Linked DNA regions of Oreochromis niloticus. The protein of the gene in region 2 purifies or fractionates together with the protein of the main gene of each other region. This does not show direct contact. Links are inferred from orthologs where the notes say so. Each region holds a gene or a part of one and is shown on either strand. Other genes may lie near its edges.

The links.
Region 1: the proteins of rbm28 (region 2) and rexo4 purify together in Homo sapiens (affinity purification with mass spectrometry; 3 studies listed by BioGRID and IntAct, with this or other methods). This does not show direct contact. The link is inferred for Oreochromis niloticus from reciprocal best matches to the Homo sapiens genes RBM28 and REXO4.

The regions. Positions count from the first base shown.
Region 1 is NC_031973.2:18,111,588-18,123,509, forward strand, and holds rexo4 (RNA exonuclease 4), read left to right. Parts: upstream 1-6,362; 5' UTR 6,363-6,626; coding exon 6,627-6,836; intron 6,837-6,950; coding exon 6,951-7,282; intron 7,283-7,370; coding exon 7,371-7,535; intron 7,536-8,914; coding exon 8,915-9,108; intron 9,109-9,207; coding exon 9,208-9,296; intron 9,297-9,384; coding exon 9,385-9,459; intron 9,460-9,551; coding exon 9,552-9,626; intron 9,627-10,643; coding exon 10,644-10,787; 3' UTR 10,788-11,207; downstream 11,208-11,922. Other genes in the region: receptor-type tyrosine-protein phosphatase H, read left to right, coding at 220-355, 906-1,064; si:dkey-197c15.6 (putative nuclease HARBI1), read right to left, coding at 1,425-1,855, 3,343-4,030; pigp (phosphatidylinositol N-acetylglucosaminyltransferase subunit P), read right to left, coding at 5,145-5,260, 5,426-5,544, 5,631-5,703, 5,780-5,861.
Region 2 is NC_031972.2:55,355,953-55,367,396, reverse strand, and holds the start of rbm28 (RNA-binding protein 28), read left to right. Parts: upstream 1-6,421; 5' UTR 6,422-6,636; coding exon 6,637-6,754; intron 6,755-6,894; coding exon 6,895-7,041; intron 7,042-7,121; coding exon 7,122-7,222; intron 7,223-7,306; coding exon 7,307-7,382; intron 7,383-7,493; coding exon 7,494-7,586; intron 7,587-7,687; coding exon 7,688-7,759; intron 7,760-7,850; coding exon 7,851-7,944; intron 7,945-8,041; coding exon 8,042-8,301; intron 8,302-8,399; coding exon 8,400-8,466; intron 8,467-8,612; coding exon 8,613-8,722; intron 8,723-8,822; coding exon 8,823-8,896; intron 8,897-9,351; coding exon 9,352-9,487; intron 9,488-10,805; coding exon 10,806-10,870; intron 10,871-11,002; coding exon 11,003-11,161; intron 11,162-11,307; coding exon 11,308-11,444. Other genes in the region: uncharacterized protein si:dkey-5i3.5, read left to right, coding at 1,990-2,236, 2,323-2,684. UniProt on the Homo sapiens protein: Nucleolar component of the spliceosomal ribonucleoprotein complexes.

The DNA.
Region 1 (11,922 bases), on a different chromosome or scaffold from region 2:
AGACATTTCCTCAATAGGGAGGAACAGTATTGCACATGATAGTTTTTCGCTTTTTTCAAAAGTCCAATTCTTCATTTTAACAGTTTTCACATCTAGTTGTATGTTCTAGTTTAGTTTTTGTTAACTATAATAACTTTGGCACAGACACAGTGATGAGAGTTTTCTATGTGACCTTAAAAACCTTTTGCTATCTTATTATGATGCTTGTGTCTCTCTTAGTGCTGGAGTCGGGAGAACTGGCACTATCATTTCCCTGGATGTGCTGCTTCAGCAGCTGGAGAAAGAACAAGCAGTCGGCATCAATGCCTTCGTACACAAGATGAGACTGAACCGACCATACATGGTGCAGACGGAGGTAACTGTATTAAACTGCTTCTGATTGAGCCACCACTTCCTTAATTAGCTAACCATGTATGTCTTTATAGTTACAGCTGGTGAAACAACACACAGACAGCATTTTAGTCATCATAAGATATGCAGTTTTGTTTTTGTTTTTTTAATTGGGGTCCTCATTTTTGATCCTTTCATCCTAAAATATGAGTTTGAAAAGGATTTTTTCTATTGTTCAACTTTTCAGAACAAGGCAGACTTTGTAGGTATTATCAACAGATGCCTGCTTAAAATATATTTAATGCCCAGTTTGTTAATTGCACTTGTTACTTAGTAATTTAGACAGCAAAACAATCTCTAAGGGTCTATGTCTACATATTTTTAAGTATGTGAGCTGAAAATTTGTTTTCATAAAACAAAGCCTTATTGGACCTTTTTGTTTCTGATTAAAAAAAAAATGAAATGCTTTATTGTGAAACTGTTTGGCAATGTTGCCTGCAAGAAACTATCATAATCTCCCCTGGCAGAAGTTCTGCATTTCAAATGACCAACAACTTCTGGTATTTCCTTTTCAGTCTCAGTACGTTTTTCTGCACCAGTGCATCATGGACAGTCTGCAACCAAAAAACACAAATGAAGAGAACATTTATGAGAACACGTACGAGAACGCAGATATGATATACGTCAATGCCACTGCCCTCCAAGAGCTCCGTCGGCAAAACGGAAATGCGTAGTGTCAACCCTGCACTCAATCTTTTATGCACTTAATGAAAAACTATTTGTCTATAAGCAATATGTTGGTTTTAAACTTAATAATACAAACTATTATATCTTAACTATTTCTGTATATGCATTGCACACTTCAGATCTTATTTAGTTTGCATCTCTTCTAAATATGTAATATTATTATTTTTGTTGTCATTGTTTTTATGTGAGAAAATAGCACTGATGAATTGAAAATGTTTCAAAAATGAATTTATTAAAAATAAGTACAAAACAAAAGAAATATAATATTTCACATTCACAGAAATATAAAAGCTGAGTTTTGGTTTCAGTGTGTCATTGATCCTCTTTCATAGACCAGAAACAACCATTTATGCATCTTCTTCTGTGACGTTGCTACCTGAGGGGTCCTGACTGCTGGACACAGTAGAGAATTTACTATTAATAACTTCCTGTCTGGCTTTGAGGGCCTCCTGTTTGATCTCTACTGGCACTGACTGCTGCTTGCCAGGATATAGCGGCTCAGCTTTACCAGCGTCAGGTGGGGGAGGGACAGAGAACTTTTTAGCAATGTTGTGCAGCACACTGCATGCTTTGATAATGTTAGACTGTTTGTTAAGTGAGCCTTCTTGTGCAAAACCAAGTTGCATCAGACACCTGAAACGCCTTTTCATGGAATCCAGTGTCGTCTGCATGACATCGAGGATCTTTGCATGGGCCTCGTTGAAGCGGATCTCGTTGTTGTTCGCGGGCAGTGATACAGGAGTCAAGACGTGCTTGCTTAAGTGGTAGCCTTTCCCACCTTTAAATGAAACATAAGAGAATGCAGTGAATATCAGAGCAGGATAGCATCTCTGAACAATGTGGACCCCTGAAGCAGAATGGCTATAGCAGCAGAAGACCACACAGGTGCCACTCTAGTGAGAGCTCATTCTAAGAACAAGAAACTGAGGCTTCAGTTTGCATGGGCTCACTAAAATTAGGCAATAGCCATTCTTGGAATACTTTGATCCCTGATTACAAACTGAGAATCATCTAAATGCCAGAGCCTATCTGAGTATTGATGCTGACTATGTCCATCCCTTTATGACCACAGTGTACCAATCTTCTACTGACTCCTTTAGACAAGATAGTCGCCATGTCACAAAGCTCAATTCATGTAAAACGGGTTTCTTGAGCATGAAAATGAGTTTCCTGTACTGAAATGGCCTCCACAACTCAAAGTGAGAATCACAGTGAGGAAGAAAGAACTTTGAATGTGAGATGTTAATGCTAGATGGGCTGGTCTAAGTATTTCACAACTGTCTGCTGGGATTTCCTCACACAAGCGCTGGAGTTACATATAATGGTAGGAAAAAGAAAATATCCAGTGAGCAGCAGTTCCCTGGCAGAAAACAGCTTATAATGTTAGAGGTCAGAGAAAAATGGCCAGACTCCTTTGATCTGATAGGAAGGCAAAAGTAACCACAATTGAGGTATGCAGAAGGTCATCTGTGACAACACCTGAAGCCAATGGGCTACTACAGCAGAAGACCACAATGGGTGCAACAGCTGTCAGCTAAAAACAGGAAACTGAGGTCACAGTTTGCACTGGCTCATCGAAACTGGACGACAGAAGAATGGGATGTGGTGATCAGGGAGATTCCCATTATGGATGTGCAGCTGACAAATCTGCAGCAATCTGATATGAATCAAGAAACATTGACCAAAATCTGTGACGAAATTTTCCATCACCCTGTTGAATCTAGGCCATGAATAATAACGTAATAATGCATTAATAACATGTCCAGTAAGTTTATGTGTAAGAAGTTAAAACACTATTTTATTTGTGTTTTATGTAAAAAGAATGAAATATTCCAGAGAAATCAACTGTTTGCCAAGAAGTTAATACTTTTGACAACTGTCAATTTTGCCTTTTTCTGGGAATAGAAACACTAAAGAGCAGATCCGTTCTTTTTGGGAATAACTGTTTTGCATTCATTGCCTTAACTTATATCTGTATCTTTGCATCCCCTCATACACCTCTACTTAATCAAGGGATCTTTACACCTTTCTGGAAGGGTTATTGCTGGGTGACCCATGTAGGGGAAGTGCAGAATTTCAGATAGTTTAGATGATGGGGTGGGGTCTTCCTGGGCGGCTTCTTATTGCTAGGCAACCAGTCGTCATCAGACGCAAACGGATGATAGTTTTGTAGGTTTTTATGCTTGACTTGATACCTCACTGTGCTGTCACTCCAGTTTACATTTCTAAATAAACATTTGCACAAGAGGTCATCACTGCTCTTACCAATCAACCAAAACGGGCTGTGCAGGTCCTCTTGCATTTCCCTTCCTTTAAAGGAGGAGTCCCACATCTCTTGCTCAAACGTGCCACCAACACAGCACTTTTCAACACTCAGTATGTTGCCGTCGCAGTCGCATATGATCTGGCTTACAACCGATGTGTAACCCAGGGCATTGATAAAAGACCTGAAGGCGTCTTTTTCATATGGAGATGCTCTGATCTTGAAGTGCGCAGGAGCCAGGACGCCCAGCACGTTTGGGATTCCGCAGAATTTCTCTATCTTTAATGCGACGTTAGTTCTGGCGTCCAGGGTTAGCGGGAAAGAGATGAATACATCGGACATCCCTGCTATGACTCCCGAGATTGTACCAACCACAGTCGTGGGGCACTCCGTCTGCCTCAGTCCGGCTTTCTGCAGCACAGCAGTGGTGGAGACCCCATGTGCGTAATAATTGAGCGCCACCATGACCATCTCGTCCACGGGCAGCTGGGATTTCTTGGGGGCGGCGTCCTTCATGCGGATGCGGACGGCGTCTGCGATAAACAGGATGCAGGGTCTGCTCAGGTGGAACAACTGAAAAAGAGCTTCATCGTCGAAAGTGTCAAAGCAGCTCGAAGCTCCGTAGTCTGCCTCGTTTTGTGCCAGGAGCTCCTCCTGGACCGCAAGCCAGACAGGCACGGCGAAAGCCATTAGTTTTTACTCCGATGTATTTAAACAAGCAAAGATCCCCCACGGCGTGCCCGAAATCGTTCCCAAACAACGTCTTCTTCTCCTTTGGCTTGGCAGACTGGACGCTGGGCGGCGTGCTGCTGCCCTCTGCTGTTCACTTGTGTCCCTGTTTCGACATCTGTGTTGTTATATATTGCAGGATTATGCGGACACTCGCCCAGTTTCGTAATCTTATTCCGGTTATGCAGGCTGATTAAAGCGCAACAACAAATCTCCTGGTTGCCTCGTCTTTGTTTAACGTTTAAGCTAAAGCGATCCGTTATCGCCACCTAGTGGACAGCAATAAAAAACATTTGAAAAAGACTGCAGTTCACAATGTGTAAACCAGTTGTGTGGAAAAATCCCAGCAGATCAGCGGTTTCTGAAATACACAGACCAGCCCATATGTCATCAACAACCATAACGTTGAAAGTCACTAAAATTACACACCGTCTTGACCATGTCTACATAACTAAATGCACTGAGTTTCAGATATTAGATATTTGTGTTAACAAGCAGTTAAACAGGTGTACCTAATAAAGTGGCTGGTGACCAAAAACCAAAAATGTAGTGTGGGATAAAATGCTAAAAACTACCTCTTATTCTCTGGGATAATCAAGTGCAGATGTTCATTTGCAGCTTTAGTAAGATTTGGATGGGCATAAATAATTATCTGGAGCCACTTTTATTCTAGACCGACATTTCTGACAGGCATTAAAGTATTAGAACAAAATAAGATGTTCCTTTCTTCTAGCAGTGGACTTAAAAATAAAAGAATTAACATAAAAATATGATTATTTATGACATGTTTATTGCACAGAATAATAAATATAAACATTCTGTATTTTAACATAGACAGCACAGCCATTTACTGTTGTTTTCATTCAATATACATCTTATTGTGACCAGTGTGTTCGGATACAGAATTCACATTTAACCATTATAAAGATGCTTAAACAATAAAAAAGTCAACAGAATATATCTTCTTATAAATAAGGCACAAAACATTTCATAAAAAAAGACAAACAGTAACACCAAAATAAAACCCCTGCAGCTTTACTTCTTCTCTGTCCACAGCAGTATCAGACTGTGCTTGTTACATACTGGGTGATAAATAGAACATTTTGTTGACTTCACTAATGGACACATCCTTCAATCGGGGTATTCCACCGTTACGGCAGGACTCGGTGCTCTGGCCTTGTGCATACACATCTGTGACAGAAAAAAGACATTTAACAATCAGGAAATTCTGAAAATGTGGCATGGCTGTTGGTGGCAGACGGGCTGGTCCGAATATTTCAGAAGCTGGTAATCTGCTGGGATTTCCCCCACACAACAATCTCTGACATCAACAAAACATTTTGTTGACGTCCTCACCTGTGATGTTGTCCACAGAGTCCAGCGGTGCCGTGTTGCGCATGTTCACACCGAATAACAGTATGAAACAGACTGTTATTGCGACCAGCAAGTAGATTGGCATCGCAAGAGCCCAGTATCTAAACAGAACACACATTTGACACTGTCGTGAAACTGTGCAGGTGCTTCCCCAGTGATCCATTTATCTCAGAGCAGTTCTACTTACTTTTGAGGCCAGTAAGTGAGCCCTATTGAATGAAGCCACTCCTCTGGCACGAAAGCCCATAAGCAATACAGAACTGTGGAGAGACGCAGTGAGTATTACAGACATGCACTGCTTGAACTCCTGTTTGTGTTTTGGATTGATTCACTTACAGAAGCCAAACTGTGATCCGAGGAAGAGAACAAACCCATAAATGGCCCTCTCAGGCAGAGGAGATGGAGAGTTTTCCACCATGATCTACAACCAAAACACAGACAGAAAGGTGTGGGAGAGCAACGAGACAGCAATAAAACATTCAGGCCCCAAAGAGAAGTTACATACCTGGAAATACGTTTTTTCTTTGCTCCTTTAAACCCTAACTTTACTCAGATTTTTAACATTAATTACCACGTTAATTATATGCCTGATGATTATCAAAAGCAATACAAAATGGGTTTAACACGTCTATCAAAACCCACTGTGCCTTTTTTACATTAGTGCTATGAAGCCTTCCGCAACGGTCCGTCACTTTTCCTCAGAACGATGCGAAACTTTTTCTAAAACATTAGTTCCGCCATTGAATCGCTCACAAAACAAGCGTCAAAACATGACTTTTTTACGTTTATCATATAAAATTTCACATTTATATAATTGTAAAGCAAAAGCACGGTCGGAGATTTTTTTTTCACATCTTACTGACGTGACGCACTTGAGCTACAGCACGACGTCATGTTTGTGACGGACATATTTCACTGTTGCACATCGTGGAAAAACACTCAACGGCATGGCTTCGGAGAGAGTTAAGTTTTACGAGTAAGCGATTTTATGTACAGTTCAGGGACGTGCTTCAGTAATGCTCGTGTGCTGGCCGAAAGGTGAGCTTAGTCTGGGGGAGACATTTCTTACTGTCTGAAGTTGTTTGGCAACTCAAGTAACGGACATCTGACAAGCCAGCGTGGCTTTACACACCTCACCACGAAAAATATAAGGAGGTGAGGATACATGAGATAGGTGATCATAATGTCTAAGGTGGAGAAACAGAAAAAACAGTTTCCCGCTAAAGCACGTAAGCGGAAACCTAATAAGAAAAACGGCATATTAAAAAAGAACGAGAGGCAGTGGTTTTACTCAGCTCCTGCAAACAAGGAGCAAGAAAAGCCTACAGCTCCACAAACTGCTCCTCCAAAAGACTCCCAGCAGTTCTCTGCCAACTGGAAAGCACTTCAAGAGGTCAGTGAGTGCAGTAGTTTGATATCCATGCATGTCCTGTCACACAATTTGGTTTTTGTGTGCCTGTGTTTAATACTACCCACAGGTTTTTCTCCCTTATTTTCCTCCCTTCAGGTGTTGAAGGCCAGTCAGTCAGAGAAGAAGCAGCCAGTGGCACCGAAACATCAGAACGGCTTCTTGCCAAAGAAGGTCCAAGAAAATACTTCTAAAATAATTTCTAAGAACAATGCTGGACCAAGCCAGAGAGACACTGAGAAAAAAGCGGATCACAAAACTGTGCCTAAGAGTTTTGTCTCCGGTAAGACTGGGGTCAACTCAAAGGTGTTGGATGTCTCGAAGACTAAACATGCTACTGCTCCAAAAAGAGAGCGGGATAGCGGGAAGCCAAACAGCCTACAGGCAGCTAAGAAGAAGAAGCTTGAATCCGAGGAGACAAAGCCCACAGAGTATGTATATATTAGCACTGAAGTTGACTCATTTATTCAGCAAGAATATTTTTGTCTGATAATCCCATCTCATTCTCTGCTGTTGCAGAGAGGACCTTTGGTTTGATGACGTGGACCCGGATGACATTGAGGCGACAATGGGAGCAGAAGCAGCCGAGATCATGAGGAAGAAGCAGGGCAAGGCCAAGGGTACGGATGGTGCCTCGGCTAAGGACACGGAGAAGAGCCTGGTTAAGGAGAATGCTTTTGAAGGGTAAGTCGCTGTGCATTCAGTGTACAGTGAGAACCACACTCAGAATACAGCGGGCAGCTTTGATGCCATTTTAGAAAAGTGCGTGAAAATATTCCCGGGGAAAGATGCACGCCTTAACAGCGATTATAAAAAATATCAAGTCCCTAATGTCATTACTTCTCTCAATACAAGTATTTCACAGGAATGTTGCTGCCGTGGTGTTATTAGCTGGCTGTGAGTAACTGTGGATGTAATATTAACAATGTGGATTTGGCACATGATGTCATACTTGGGAAATGTCACACAAAATGTGTTTTTCCCAACATATAGACTTTAATATCTCTGAAACCGCTCAACTGACTCGGCCTGTTTAAACAACATTATGTGCCTCATGCATAAGAAGCTCAAAGTAAATGATCAATCCCCCCCCCACCTTCTACAGTTCTCTGGATCTGCTGTCAAAGATCAGACATCCAATTATTTTAGGGACTCCTTCTGTATGAAGTTGAGCTACACTCCTGAGGAGATGGAGACTGTTTTTTTCCCCCTCAGTGGAGAGCTTCATGGAGCTTTCCTTCAAGGAGTCAAGTATTACATATAGTCTGTGATAAATACTTTTGCCATTGCATGTTTTAGTGAATTGTCTGGACAGAGCATGAAGTAAACATGGTTGCTGACTGTTTTCTGCGGGTTATGGAGATGGATAAATTGTTGAATGGAATTTATACAATTAAATCCTTCACTGCGGTGACGTAGCCTGTCAATACAGCTTCAGAGCTCACTACATTGCTGTGGAAAATCATTGATAATACAGATAAATGCTGTGGAAAAACCTGTGACCCCTGATGGATGAATGGATGGATGCATTCTGAGCTAGGTCACAAAAGGTATGACCCTATTATGCTGTGTCTGCCGGTCATGCGCCTCTCAATTTTGTAACCTGAAGCGTTGAGCAAGGGTTAAAGACGAGAGTGTACGATTGTATCAGTTTTTACAATCATTTTAAGGATATTCCGCCACAAAAACTCAGAGACATGCAGATATACAGAGAAGGAGATGTAGGAACAGTGTGAAAACTTGAGTTTGTGGAAAAAACTGTGGAAAAAAAACCTCGACAAAGTCTCGGCTTCCGATTTTGACAACTTCTCCTCCTGTGTCAGCACTTATGTGGCGATATTGTCTGATTGCTGACACCTGTCATTCAGGAGAATACTGCAGCAGCTTCCTGCGCCTTCATGGCGGGTATAAATACGACTGACTGTGAGATAGTCTTGCTGGAGCGAGCAAAGCGACCTTTGCGTTTGGTGTACTGGGGCCTTTACATTGAGGTGTTTACGTTGAGACAGAAGATGATGATTGTCATGTCTCTCCTTTCTTGTCACTTTGTCGTTCACCTTAAGCCTCACTAAAGCGGTGGCCATTGACTGTGAGATGGTGGGAGTTGGTCCTGATGGAGAGGACAGCATCTTGGCACGTGTGTCAATTGTGAACCAGTTTGGGAAGTGCATCTATGACAAATATGTGAAGCCCACAGAGAAGGTAACAGACTACAGGACAGCTGTCAGCGGCATCCGGCCAGAGGACATCAAAGATGGTGAGAGAAATGAAATGAGTTGCAAAGAACAACTGAAAGTCTCTTTGTTTCTTATGTTGTGTTTCTGATGTTTTTTAAACCACGTTTGTCTCTCTGCAGGAGCGGATGTACAGATTGTACAGAGGGAGGTTGCTAACATCCTGGAAGGGAGACTAGTGGTTGGACACGCCATACACAATGATCTAAAGGTAGCATGGATGTGATATCGGAAATAGAACAAATGTAATATTTTTCTTAGCCTGATTATGAGCAGCCACAAACTATCTCCTGTTTCAGATTCTGCTCTTGGATCATCCAAAAAAGAAAATCAGAGATACTCAGAAATATAAACCCTTCAAGACGATCGCAAAGGTATGATGCAGTCACCAATGTCTCAACAGTTTACGCAGTGAATGTGTGAATGAATTATAACTGATAATAAGGCGTTTTTCTTTTTGTTTTAGAGCGGTCGACCCTCGCTCAAGCTCCTTTGTAGAAAAATCCTCGATGTGAATGTCCAAGAGGGCGAACATTCATCTGTAAGTCATTCGAAAAGCCTTTTAAATTATCAGGGTTGAGTGACCGAAAACTGGCACACGTGTAGGGCTGTGCGATATGACCAAAATCTCATATCCCGATATAAGACAGTTATTGTCCCGACAGCGATATATATCACAAAAATGTTACATTTTCTGTAAATTCTGTGAATCTTGGGCGACTCGATTTGCATGAAGTGTTTTCAGCTGGGCGTCCTGTACCTGAGGTCAAGTGTTTTGACCGATGCATGAAACTATACATTTTTAGACATAAGTTGAGCCTAAGGTTTATTGTTTAGCACCTAATGGCTCTTTTTTTGCTTCTCATCCATAAACTCTCTGCATACTCTTTCACGTGATTCAGTTAATTTTGAAAAATCTCAACAGGATCTTCAGCTTTATTGTGAAAGGTTTATGTGGAAAATAAACAAGCAGACGGCGGAGCCACGCTATGGTTTTACCGTCGTTGTCGCTAACGACAACGCATAAAAGCAGTCGCTTGTCCGTCTGCAGTGTGGTTATATTAAATGTAAGAGAAAGAGAGAACTTTAACAAATTAATACTACATAAAAGCGATGACAAAATATTGCCGTAAACAGTTTATTTTGCGACACCATGAAACAAACGATAGACGTTTTCATATCGTCAGCCGATATATATCGTTATATCGAACAGCCCAGGTATACACACGGGTACATCTTTGACCCCTGAAGGCCTGAAGATAGTATGATATAATCTTGTTGCCTAGCAACCACATACCCAAATGGTCAATTTGCATCATTTTAGCACTTGTAGCATCTTACAAAAGCATCGTGTCACTTTGTTTTCATGACATTAACATTTATTGTATATCTAGAAAACTTTATTGTTGATCTCATGATGTCATCATCCAACAGTGGACTAAAATCACTGACTCGGCACTACTCCAGCATGTAAAAACAACTTGTATAAACACCAGTGTGTTATTGCCCAACAATGTTAGTAACACTTGGGCTGATCTTTGCCTGTTGCTTTCTCCAGGTCCAAGACGCACAGGCCACCATGAGGCTGTACACAATGGTGAAAAAGCAGTGGGAGGCAGAGATTAAAGCGAGCAGGAAAAACAAATTCTTGGATAAGAGGAGTGAGAGAAAGGCCAAGCTTCCCAAAGACAAGAACCACTGAGGATTATAAAGTCAAAACGAGCAAGCAAGAGGACAGATGATCTCCCGATGAGAGCAGAGCTGACTGAAGTGATCAGAGGATTCTTTTAAGAAGAAAAAACAACTATGTATTTTTGTTTATTTTAATGTGAGGGATGTTGAACCTGTGATTGTATAAAAGCGTGACTTGCTGAGCTTTTGTGAGATCTGGCGCAACAAAAAGCGTGTTAAATGCTTTCGCAGATAGTGACCGGTTTCATCAGCCTAAGTCGCTCGGGGAGATCGTTGCAGGTTGTGAAAGACTTTATCGAGTTGCAAATCAAGAAGTTTTGTTCCTCAGTGTGCCAGACTGACTCATGCAGGGATTAGAACAGAGTCTTTATATACAGTTTGTAAAAATGTCTGTTTTTAAAGTATAAATAAAACAAAAGATGTAATTCGTTTAACTCTGCTATGCATATTTCTTTGTCCTCACAGTCTAATACAACCACAGGAGGTTCAGAGCAATGCAAACTCTTTTTTTTATAAAAAACTTATTAAACTGCATTTAATGCAAGTTAATGTCAAGACATGAGTTGCTGCCTCACATTTGGTTCATGATTACGGAGAGTTCATTTCCCATTTCTCTGACAAACATCAGAAAAGCCATTAAAGAGGACAAACGTTACTGTTTACTGTGAGTGCAACCAAATGTGCATCTTAAATCATTTATTACTCAAATCCTGTATTTCCTTATGTAATCCCATCCCGGCCTTATTTTGATTTTTTTTTTTTTTTTTACTATGTCATGGTGATAAAGTAAGAAATCCCCTGCCTGCCAGCAGTGTGTCAGCGTGATTTGCAGCCCGGGAGCCGATGCACTCTGTGCTGTACTTTATTGAAATGAAGCACGCGCCCTCGGTCTGCAGCCTCCGGGCTCTAAATTAGGTTCTCTGTGGGTTTCTGACAGGTAGTGCGAAGGCTTCAGGTAGCACAGCAGATGCTGGTGTGCCCTAATATGTTGACACAAGATGGTAGCATGACTTTTGTTTTCTGCATGTAAATATTTTTTGGTTGCAATGTAATAAAGCAGCAGTTTCCATATGTTAACAGTTCAAACTATGTAACCATGCTTTGCCCGGTGGTCACATGTCGGTATATACTACAGCAAACAGCTG
Region 2 (11,444 bases):
GTTTAAAAACAGGTGTTATATGTCCAGTGGATCTAGTTCTGGAAATAATACGAGCAGCTGTATTTTGAACCAACTGCAGTTTATGTAGGGATTTATGAGGTAAACCATAGAGAAGAGAATTACAGTAATCCAGACGAGATGTGACAAGAGCATTGACAAGTATGGTGGTACTGTGTGGTGTGAGTGAGGGACGAAGACGGTTAATATTACGGAGATGAAAGTAGGAAGACCGAGTGATATTATTTATATGTGCTGTGAAGGACAGAGTGCTATCGAGGATGACACCAAGACTCTTAACCTGAGGGGAGGGTGTGACAACAGGAGTTATCAATGGATAACGAAAGACTGGTTGGAACTGTAGTCAGTTTTGATCTGGTGCCTATTAAAATGAATTCTGTTTTATTGCCATTAAGTTTAAGAAAGTTGTGAGTAAACCAGACCTTGATTTCACTTAAACAGTCAGAAATGGATGTGGGTGGGAGAGTAGCTGTGGGTTTGGAGGATAGGTAGAGCTGGGTGTCATCTGCGTAGCAGTGAAACTGGATGTTATGCTTCCTAAAAATATTACCTAGAGGTAGGAGATAGATGATAAAAAGTAAAGGACCCAGGACAGAGCCTTGGGGTACACCGAAATTAACTGGAGTAGATACTGATCTGTGAGGGAGTAATTGAACAAACTGTGAACGGCCAGAGAGATAAGAAGTAAACCAGGCGAGTACTGTACTATTGATGCCAATAGATGCTAATCTGTGAAGGAGGATGCGGTGGGACATAGTGTCAAAAGCTGCTGTAAGGTCAAGGAGAATGAGGATGGATATAAGTCCAGAATCAGCTGCAAGCAAAAGATCATTGGTGATTTTTACTAGGGCTGTTTCTGTACTGTGACATGAACGGAAGCCGGACTGAAACTGTTCGTACAAGTTATTTCCAATGAGATGATGATGAACCTGTGCAGCCACTATCTTTTCAAGAATTTTTGCTAGGAAAGGGAGATTTGAAATTGGCCTGAAATTATTTAGATTGGAGGGATCTGAACCATTCTTTTTCAGTATTGAAGTTATTACTGCGGTTTTAAGAGAAGAAGGAACAGAACCAGATATAAGAGAGGAGTGTACGATATTAGCAATCAGTGGGGCAAGAGACGGGAATGAGAACCTGAATGACAATGTTTCATTCTTGCACTTAACACTAAAATGCATCACAGGGCGGCTAATGAATAATAGTCTTTCTAGAAGTATGTGCTCTGAGTGCAAGCTTGTGGTTCCCAGAATTACCAAAAGCAGAGCCTTAAAAAGTTATCGAGCCCCTGTCCGGTGGAACCAGTTCCATGTTGAGAGAGACAACCTGTACTTTGAAGATTAGACTTAAAAATTTCCTTTTGGTAAAGCTTATAGTTGGGGTGGATCAGATGACCCTGAATCATCCAAAAATTATGCTGCTGTAGGCTCAGCTGTTGGGGACTTCCCATGATATAATACCCACTTTTCTGTTCACGATGCATTTATATGAAACTGTTGTACATCGTTTCCTTTTCCCTACTCTCTCCCTTTGTCCCCCCTTTTTGTGATCAGATTACTGCCCCACGCTGATCTTGGCTCTGTTGGAAGTTTCTTCTTGTTAAAAGGAAGTTCTTCGTCCACAACTGTTGCCATAATATCACCGTTTAGTTTGTCAAATTATAGGCTCCTTTTCTTTAAACTGTAAAGTGTTTTAAGGTCTATATCTGTGAAGTAGCACTATAAGAATGAAACTGCATTAGATAAATGTGAAGAAAGTTTGTATTTAACTAAGATTGCAATGGAAACTTAACTCGTAAAAAAACAAAAGTAGAGGGGACCCCACCAGGACATCGTGGGAGCACTGTAATGTTGCGCATTGATCTTACTTTGAAAAATGAATTCACTCAGTTTTAAACTCAAAGTTTAGTGTGTGTGTATGTTTTTTAATGATTTTCTGAAAGGCTGATTGAATTTCTCCTTTTTTTCAAAGGTGCAAGGGTTCCTTTGGCCCCGCTGGGGTCTGGAACATGGAAAGACATTACTGGAGTTGCTGGAGAGCGAGCGCTTCGTGTCCCGCCCCCTGCTTGTTCATGCATTTTCAATCGGTGGATATACCTTCTCTCAGCTCCTTGTGCATGTGTCGAAAGATACAGATAAATATCAGGCATTCACAGAAAGGATCACAGGGCAGATTTATGATAGCATGGTGGCAGGATCCCTTGAGCACATGGCTATAGGTGAGTTACCATTAACTCACACTTTATCTAATTCTTGTTTTCCTTTTCTTGCAAAATTGATAATTATTTTCCTTCTTTCTTCTCAGGTTTGGGAAAAACTGTATTTCCAAAATGTGAGTGGTTGGTAAAGCAAACAGCCATGTTTTACTTTGACAAGTTTAAAAGCCACACCGTGGACTACTTTGACATATCCTTGGATGTGTTTTGGAATACGCCCATCACCGCTCCTGTGCTGATGTTCTACTGTAACAATGATCCACTGTGTGACCCACAAACTTTGGCGGACTTGGCCGGTTACTGGCGAGGGCGTGGAATGGATGTCACAGAAAAGAAGTGGGACAATTCCATTCACGCGGGCCACCTTAAGAGACACCCAGAGGAATATCTGTCCACACTTCGCATATTCCTCAGTTCCCTTGGTTTTACCCCGTTAAAGGCGAAGTTATGAGGTAAAATCCCAACAATGTAATGCAAGAGGAACTTGACTTCACTGTACATTAACCTCAAATGTTTTAAGCTTTGGCTGGGCTGTAATAGTACATCTTGAATTTTTACACTAATTGGTGTGTGTTATGAAGGTACAGTAACAGTTCAGTTTTATTCAGAATGACGATCACATGTACTCAGGGTTTACTTCATACAGTTTCATAAACACTAAAGCAAAGCATATAAAGAATAAAATGCACTTTGGATCACAATGTTCATGTACGCCAAAGCAAACAAACAAATATAAAGTCTGACACTTTTCTTTTAGGCAAGCAACTGTCTACTAACTTAAACTAAATCATGGAGGGGAAGACAAGTGCAGGAAATATTCCAAACTTAAATTTCTCATTTGAAATGCTGGAACCAGCATAATTTGGCATCTTCATTTTACTACAACATAATGGTTTGTCAGAATTGTTAATCTACTGGTCACTACTGACATTTTCAGTTAACTATATATCTTCAAAAACAGTATACATCATTCCATTTTGCACAACATCTCAATGTCTTTGGAAATGGAGGGTTATACATTGAAGTTCCTAACTGTTCTTTGACCCTCAAAAATACAGTTTCCAAATCAAATGTGAACTTTGCCTTTTGCTTTTTTCTTTTAAATATTTGAGACAAAATGTAAACAGTCCAAAGAACGATGTGAACAGCAATGGCCACAAGCATGCAAGCTCCAAGTGCTTCTATTTATGAAACACGACAGGTCAAGATGTGTGCTTGATGTTTTAGTGTCTAATGTTTGGAGTCATGTCTTTTGGTGCTTGCATTAATGGATACAACTAGAGTTCAAAGTCAAATGACAAATCTCTGGTTTCAGCTTCTTAAATACAATCACTTGTTGCATATTTTTCAGATTTTGTCAGACAAAAGAGTAGAAATTAGCATAGTTTTAGGTGAAACACTACTAAATTTTAAATGTGTAAAGCCTAATTAACTCATGTTTCACAAGCACCAAGGTAATTTTTTATCAGTCAAGATATGTTCAGGGAAAACTCACACAAACCACCTGAAATCTACTTTACCTTTTCCCTCACAGTTAAGGGATTTTTTAAGTGGCTATGACATTTCCTGGTGGTTGATTATGTTCTCATCTCAGGATGTAAAAACCCTTGAATGATTTTGAAATTAAAACTGGACATTTACTTTTCCTGCAGTAATTTACAAGTAAAGAAACTTGTTCCGTGCTTTAAAAAAACAGTTGATGCATGTGATTGAGCTTCAGGGTTAAACTGCTGGTCTGATTTTCAATTTCCTGCTGATAAGCACAGCATGCTGTGTGCACTCAGAAGAAAATGCAATACTACTTGACACTGCTGCTGCTGAAGTTTTGTTTTTTACACATTTTTACACAAAGCCTTGAAAGTGCCTTAAAAAGCACCTCACTTGTTACTACCACCAAGTCTAACAAGAACTAAGGTGATTACAACAGCACGTTTTCATGAAAGTATATATTTGATTAATTTAGGTCGGTGTCTATGGCTACGTTCACACTGCAGGCGAAAGCGCATCAAATCCGATTTTTTCGCCCCTATGCGACCCGTATCCGATCTTGGTATGACAGTGTGAACGGCACAAATCCGATATTTTCAAATCCGATCTGGGTCACTTTCGTATGTGGTACTGAATCCGATACGTATCCGATGTTTTAGAAAGCGACTGCTGTGTGAACGGTCAAGTCGCATTAAATCCGTCTTTTACGTCACTGACACAAGACAGACGCCAATTATCAGCGCCGGAGAAGCGCCCGATAGGACATCGCGAACGGTTTCTTGCCATCCGGTGAAACTGTTGGGAAGACCACATTGGAGAAATGTGAACATTTTATTTTTACTGTATTTTCTGCAGATTCTGACAGAAATCTGCAACTATCCTTTGAAGCACCGCTCCTCTAAAACAGCAAAAAGGATCATTATTAGGTTATTTGCATTATTATGTAAATAACAAAATAACTTAAAGCAAAAATTTGGAAACATAAGGTCCGAAGTCTTTATATTAAGGCCAATCAGTCAAACAATATTGTTTGCTCTGGGTCTAAACAGAGCGAGTTGTGTGTGACATCTTCTTTTGCGCATGCGGGCCGCTTTGAGCGTTCACACTGTAGAGCGTTTGATGTCGCATTTTATGTGTAGTGTGAACAAGCAGACAAAAAAATCGGATTTGATCAAAAAATCGGAATTGAGCATTAAGACCTGCAGTGTGAACGTAGCCTAAGTGTGTGCGTGTTAAACTATACAGTTATCTCTAAGGTGTTTGTATTCTCAATATTCTTGAAGGATGTGACCTGCTAAAATTGGGAAAAGAAATCTTATTCAGTCATTTCTGTTAACACTTTTCATATGACTGACTTGTAAGTTGAAGATGTTTAAGCGTAACATGTTATACTTCTGTGTAATAAAGATGTGTTTCTCTTAACTTGAACCGGTGCAAGTAATTTTTAATTTTTCCTTTTTTGTCAAAGTTGATTACGAAGGGTTAGGAGTTAAAGCACCAATGCGGTGAAATGCAATATTATTCTTGCTGTAAAGCACTGTACTCTTGCCTAACAAAAGATACACATACAAAAGTTGTTCTTTAAAACTATGTGTACAACATAGTTTTTAACTAACTGGGGGTAAATGAAAAGTATGTATTTATATTAGGAGGTAATTATGCTTAACATTTAACCACCTAACCTCAGAACTGATGACCGCATTTAGACTTCAAGCTATTCTACTATTGAGACAGGTGATAAGCAGGTAAAGAAATGAACCTTTGACCAATGCAATTAGCACATTCAGTCATTGTGATGTTTTCTCCAGATATGGGTTGATGCAATCCGTTTCTGTAAGGTAGGTGCTGTACTTTTGCTTCATAACATTTTGCACTGTCCACTTCTTGCTGTGACAAAACAAATTTCCCATGTGTGGGACTAATAAAGGTTATCTTATCTTACTTCTCCAACGATGTCATAGCCCAAGGTGATTTTAAAACTGTGACACTAAAGAAAGGAATATCTTTTGGAAGAATGGTATTCAATCCTTTTAGCAGAGTTACAGGCTTTGAGAACTGAGGTGGCCCAATGCCTTAAAACTACACTGTTTTCGTTACTGTAAATTTTTAGTTTGTACTTAGAAAGTGATTTGAGCTACTGAAGACACCACCTGGTGGCAGAAGCCATGTAGCTCACTCCCAGTATTATCATTACAGTTATGCTTTACTATCAGCACAAGACCCTAGAAATGATTAATCCAGTGTAATATAAGCATCACATAAAAACAAAACAATACTGAAATTTACAGAAGAATATAGGTAAACTATTGAAGGGCCTCTTGTGGTTAACGGGGAATACAGAAAATCAACAACATATCACTTAATCAGTTGTTTTGGATTTGTGCTGTCATGGTTGGTAACCGCAATAGCTTCTTGTTTCTTGAAGTAATTAATTAAGGGATCATCATACGCTCCCTTTGGGCTTTCTGCAGGAAGCACCACCTCAATAAAACAGCTATTGTGGGAAGTTAAAGTAAATAGTAAGTATATGCAAGAAACTCAGTAATGGTGAAAACAAACATCAGACAGAAACGGTACTTCACAAAAAGAAGCTGAATTTTACTTTTATATCAGCTTATTTAAATTTACATATTATTCCTACATTGAAACCTCCAGGACGATAGGTGGCGCACGTGAATGCGAATATCTAACGAATACACTTCCGTTCTTTTTCAAAGATGGCTACTTCCACAAGTAAACATGCGACTTAATCCCGTGGCTAACGACGTCCAAGCTAAACAGTTCTGTGGCGTGTATTCATGCCACTGATAAGCGTGTTATCGAGAAATTAGACATTAGCTTCCTGTGGTGGATTGGTATTAAACTGCATTTCACTTTTTGAGTTGGTGTACACGCCGTAAAGTTAGCAGTTAGCCATGGCGGCGCACACCATATTTGTTGGTTCTCTACCAGATTCAGCTTCTAATGAGCGACTCGAAGAAATATTCTCAGAAATTGGTCCGGTAAAGAAATGCTTCGTGGTCAGAGATAAAGGTACTGTCGTTTATTCGAAAGAACCATACAGAATAGTAATTGAAAAAGTCGTACGAAAGTAGAATTAAATTAAACCTGCAAACATAAACATATTTATGTACATAACAGATATCTGTGGTCTCTATTTATTTTTTAACCAGAGACTGAAAAATGTCGGGGGTTTGGTTTTGTCACATATTCCATGGAGGAAGATGCACAACGAGCCTTAAAAGAAATTAAAGAATACGACGGGCAGAAGCTGTCCCTGACAGTGGCCAAGAGTAAAATCAAAGACAAAAACAAGAAAGGTTCGTATGAAGACATGTTCCAAAACTGGCAATCAGGAGAGTCTGTGTCTCCATGGTAACCTTGCACTTATTTCATTTAGCACCTACAGAGGCAGGCACTGCTCCAAAGGAGAATCAGCAGAAAGGCTCCAAGAAAAAGCTACTGAAAGCAAGACTCATTATAAGGAATCTCAGCTTTAAGGTACAGTATGTTTCATGATTACTAAATGTAACAGCTCAGCGCACACTGACACAAACCTTTGCTAATACACACCGTGTGTTACAGTGCACAGAGGATCATTTGAAAGAAGTATTTGCAAAGTTCGGGACAGTTGTTGAGGTCAAAATCCCCCTCAAACCTGGTAAATACATATGTTTCTTAACACAGTATACATAAGTGAGCATGTTGAAGTATTGCCAGACTTTGGGGTGGATTGATATGTTATGAGGTTGATTTTTATGCTTTTTCATAGACGGGAAGATGCGTGGATTTGCATTTGTCCTTTTTAAAAAGGTGCCGGAGGCGTCAAAAGCGCTTAATGCTATGAACCTGAAGGAGATAAAAGGTCAGTGAGTGAGACCGCTGAGTTGTGTGCTTAAAAAAAGCTCATTATGACTTGTTACTGTGACATTTCCTTTTTTTCAAATGTTGGCATTTAATCTCCAGGCCGACCAGTAGCAATTGACTGGGCTGTACCAAAGGACAAGTTTGTTACTACACAGCAGTCCTCAAATTCAGGTAGTTAAATGACAAAAATACTTTGTGTGCTCCAGTTCCACAAGATATAAAGCTTGTTGTCATTAACAATTTTTTTTTTTTTGCTTCATAGCCAGTACAAATCCAGAAGAAGCAAATGCTAACACTGACAGCGACACTGATGATGAGGATGAAAAAAAGAAGAAAGCTCCACCTGAGAAGAAAAAGTATGAACCTCAAACATGCATTCCTCTGTTTATATTGCCATGAGTGTTAAAAGGTGATTGACTACACTGGTTATTTTTGCTCCACATCTGTCCACAGTGTCAGTTCAAAATCAGCTGTGAAGCATACGGAGGAATTTGAATCAGGTAATGAAGATGGGAGTGAACAAAGCAGTGAAGTGAGTGATTCTGATGATGAAAAAGATGAGGAGGAACAGGAGGATGATGATGATAGGGAAGAGGAGGAGGAGGAGGAGGAGGATGATGATGATGATGATGATGGAGATAGCCTTGATTCAGATCATGATGATGGCAGTATGGATGAAGAGGATGATGAAGAGGATGAAGAAGATAAATTAGGTATGGATAGTATAAATAAATATTTAATATAACATATTTAATATTTCCTTTCCTTTAAAGTTGTTTTCATACATTCTGTATTTGGCTGTTATCCGTAGCTCAGAAAAAGACCTCGAAAAAACAGCTTCCTTCAGATGTGAAAGAGGGCAGAACGGTTTTCATCAGGTCAGTGATTATTCCTCCTACTCGGTCCTGAGCCAGCTTTGGTTTATTTTACTGTGGCTCATTTGTTTTCTTGTTATTCTTACATCCTCAAACTCTCTTTGAGACCTGTTTCTTTTTTCTTAACACCTACATCTAAACTGATTTAGGAACCTGTCATTTGACACGGAGGAAGAAGACTTAGAGGAAGTTCTCCTTCAGTTTGGAGAACTTAATTACATAAAGATTGTTCTCCACCCAGATACAGAACATTCAAAAGGTCGGTTGACAGTCCTTGAAAGTCCTTAAGAAAGACACTTGTGTCTATTAGTTGTTTGGAGAGAACCAGTTCACTTACTCTTCTGTGTTATTGTTGGCAGGTTGTGCCTTTGCTCAGTTTAAGACTAAAGAGGCTGCAGATAAATGCATAGCTGCAGCACAGGATGAGGCAGAGGTAATATGTAATCAAGTGTAATGTACATGATATTTGAATTATTGTGCAATCACACGCTGTTTAGATGGACCCACTTCTTGGGGATTTGGCCTTTTAATGTTGATGTTTTAAATTGGAATGTGGAAACAGCATGGGCAGAATTTAAACAACACATTGATAGCTCTGAGTGGTCAGTGTATATCTATGTATTTTTATTCAATATATTAACTGATAATAACTACTAATAAATAATTTTTCTAATTATTTTTTGTCAAGCTACATGGAGGGTAATTTAAATGTTATTAACTTGAAGCAAAATATTTTTACTAATCTGTCACTTGTCCAACTGATGTTTGAACACTATTATTACAAATTGTCTCGTGTATTCACCCTTTTATAGCATCACTTGAGTCTCTTTTTTGTGTAATAACCCTTGTTGTAGACAAGCCTTGAAAACATTTGTATGTTTGATGCAGGATAGTGGTATCCGTATACATGGCAGAAAGCTGATGATTGTTGCAGCAGTGAGCAGAGAAGATGCCGTGAAGCTGAAAGTCGATAAAAAGAAGGTCGAAACAGGCACGAGGAACCTGTACCTGGCCAGAGAGGGATGTGAGTAAACATTTATCTTATGTGCAGCTTCAGTAAGCAATCCTTTAATTTTGAACATTATTGAAGTCTGTGACTTCACTTCCATCATCTTATGCATGAAAACTCAAAGACACAATTCCTGTTGGTTGGTGAATATATATATGTTATGTGGCCACTTCATTAGTTACACCTTGCTAGTACCAGGTCAGACCTCCTTTTGCCTTCGGAACTGCTTTAATTCTTCATGGCACAGATTCAACAAAGTGCTGGAAACATTTCTCAGAGATTTTGTTTCATATTGACATGATAGCATCACGCCGTTATGCAGATTTGTCAGTTTCACATCCATGATGGGAATCTCCTGTTCCACCACATCCCAAAGGTGCTAGAGCAGCAGTTTCTGAAACATACAGACTAGCCCATCTGGCTCTAACAACCATGCCTCATTTAAAAATCACTGAAACCACATTTCTGATGCACCTAAAGTGTAGGTTTTAGCAGCAGGTTTGAATTTTGGTCCAGGTTGTTTTTGGTGCTTAGTACAACACGGTGGTTAGCACTGTTGTCTCACAGCAAGACGGACCTGGATTCAAAATCAGTCTCTGGCCGGGGCCAAAGACATGCACTAAAAGGTGGTGAGGTTAACTGGTGATTGAGTGTGAATGGTCGTCTGTCTTGCTGTGTTAAAGTGCCCATAAACCCTTCGCAGTGGTCGGTTTGCTTACTGCCGCGCTGTCATCACTTAGATGCAGTCATTTATACCTGCAGTTAAGGTGCAAAAAGCCGCTGCAGTGTTCTCCTAAACGATGGGTGTCGCCACTCAGTTATAAGTCAAAACAGGAAGCCAAGACTTTGTCAAGGGTTCTTTCCACAAACTCTGAAGTTTTCAAACAGTTGCAGCATCTCCCTCTGTGTGTCAGTATGTCTCTGAGCTTGTGTACAGGATCATTAAAGTGGAGGTAAAAATTGGCACAATTATACAGTCATGTCTTCAACCCAGCTGCGACAGTTGTGGTGCAGCACACAAAGTTACAAGAAAACAAGAGGTGTGGCGACCTGTACCATGCACCCCGCCTCTCGCCTTATGGTAGCTGGGAGGCTCCACCCCTGGATAAGCAAAAAGAGAATGGATAGATGGATATCCTTGGTTGACGAACTGTGTTGTCGAACTATTGTTTTGAAGCTACAGCGAAAGACATCATCACAGTGTTTTCTTTAGCTTGTTATCTTTCCTGTGGGACAGCCCAAAGGAGGCTTTAGAGGGCATGAAAGGAATTTGCACTGGCTCCATGTAGCTAAATTGCTTTTGAATGTTATTGTCTTTCACCTCAACTTTCAGTGATTCGTCCAGGAACCAAAGCTGCTGAGGGTGTACCTGAGACAGACATGGTCAAAAGAACCAGAGTAAGTACGTTTTTCATAAACAGTTCCACTCGCAGGATGATTTCTGTTGTATAATAATCAATCTTTCACTTGGTCTTTCTAATTGCTTCCATTTTGAGTCATTATTTGCTGTTGCCTTTTTTTCTTTCTTAGTTTGAAGAAATAAAGAGGGCCAAGCTTCGGGACATAAATGTGTTTGTGTCAAAGACTCGCCTGTGTGTGCACAACCTGCCGAAGTCAGTGGACAGCAAAAAACTCAAATCACTCTGCCTTCAAGCTGTGAAAGGAGTAAAGGGAGTTCGCATCACAGAGGTGAGACTACACCATTGGGCTTGACGTAGATTGTTATTTTGTCACAGTTTTGTGAGGAAAAAAATGTTCTGTGCCCAGCAGGGGGTGTTGTGGTAATTTTTTTTCTCACGCTGTTTGTGTGTGAAACCAACTGTTTCCCTTTTTAGTGCCGAGTCATCTACGACAAGAAGCCCGAGAAGGGTCAAGTGATGGGACAATCGTTAGGCTATGGCTTTGTTCAGTTCCAGGATCATGAACATGCTCTCGCCACGCTTCGCTACCTTAACAACAACCCTAACATCTT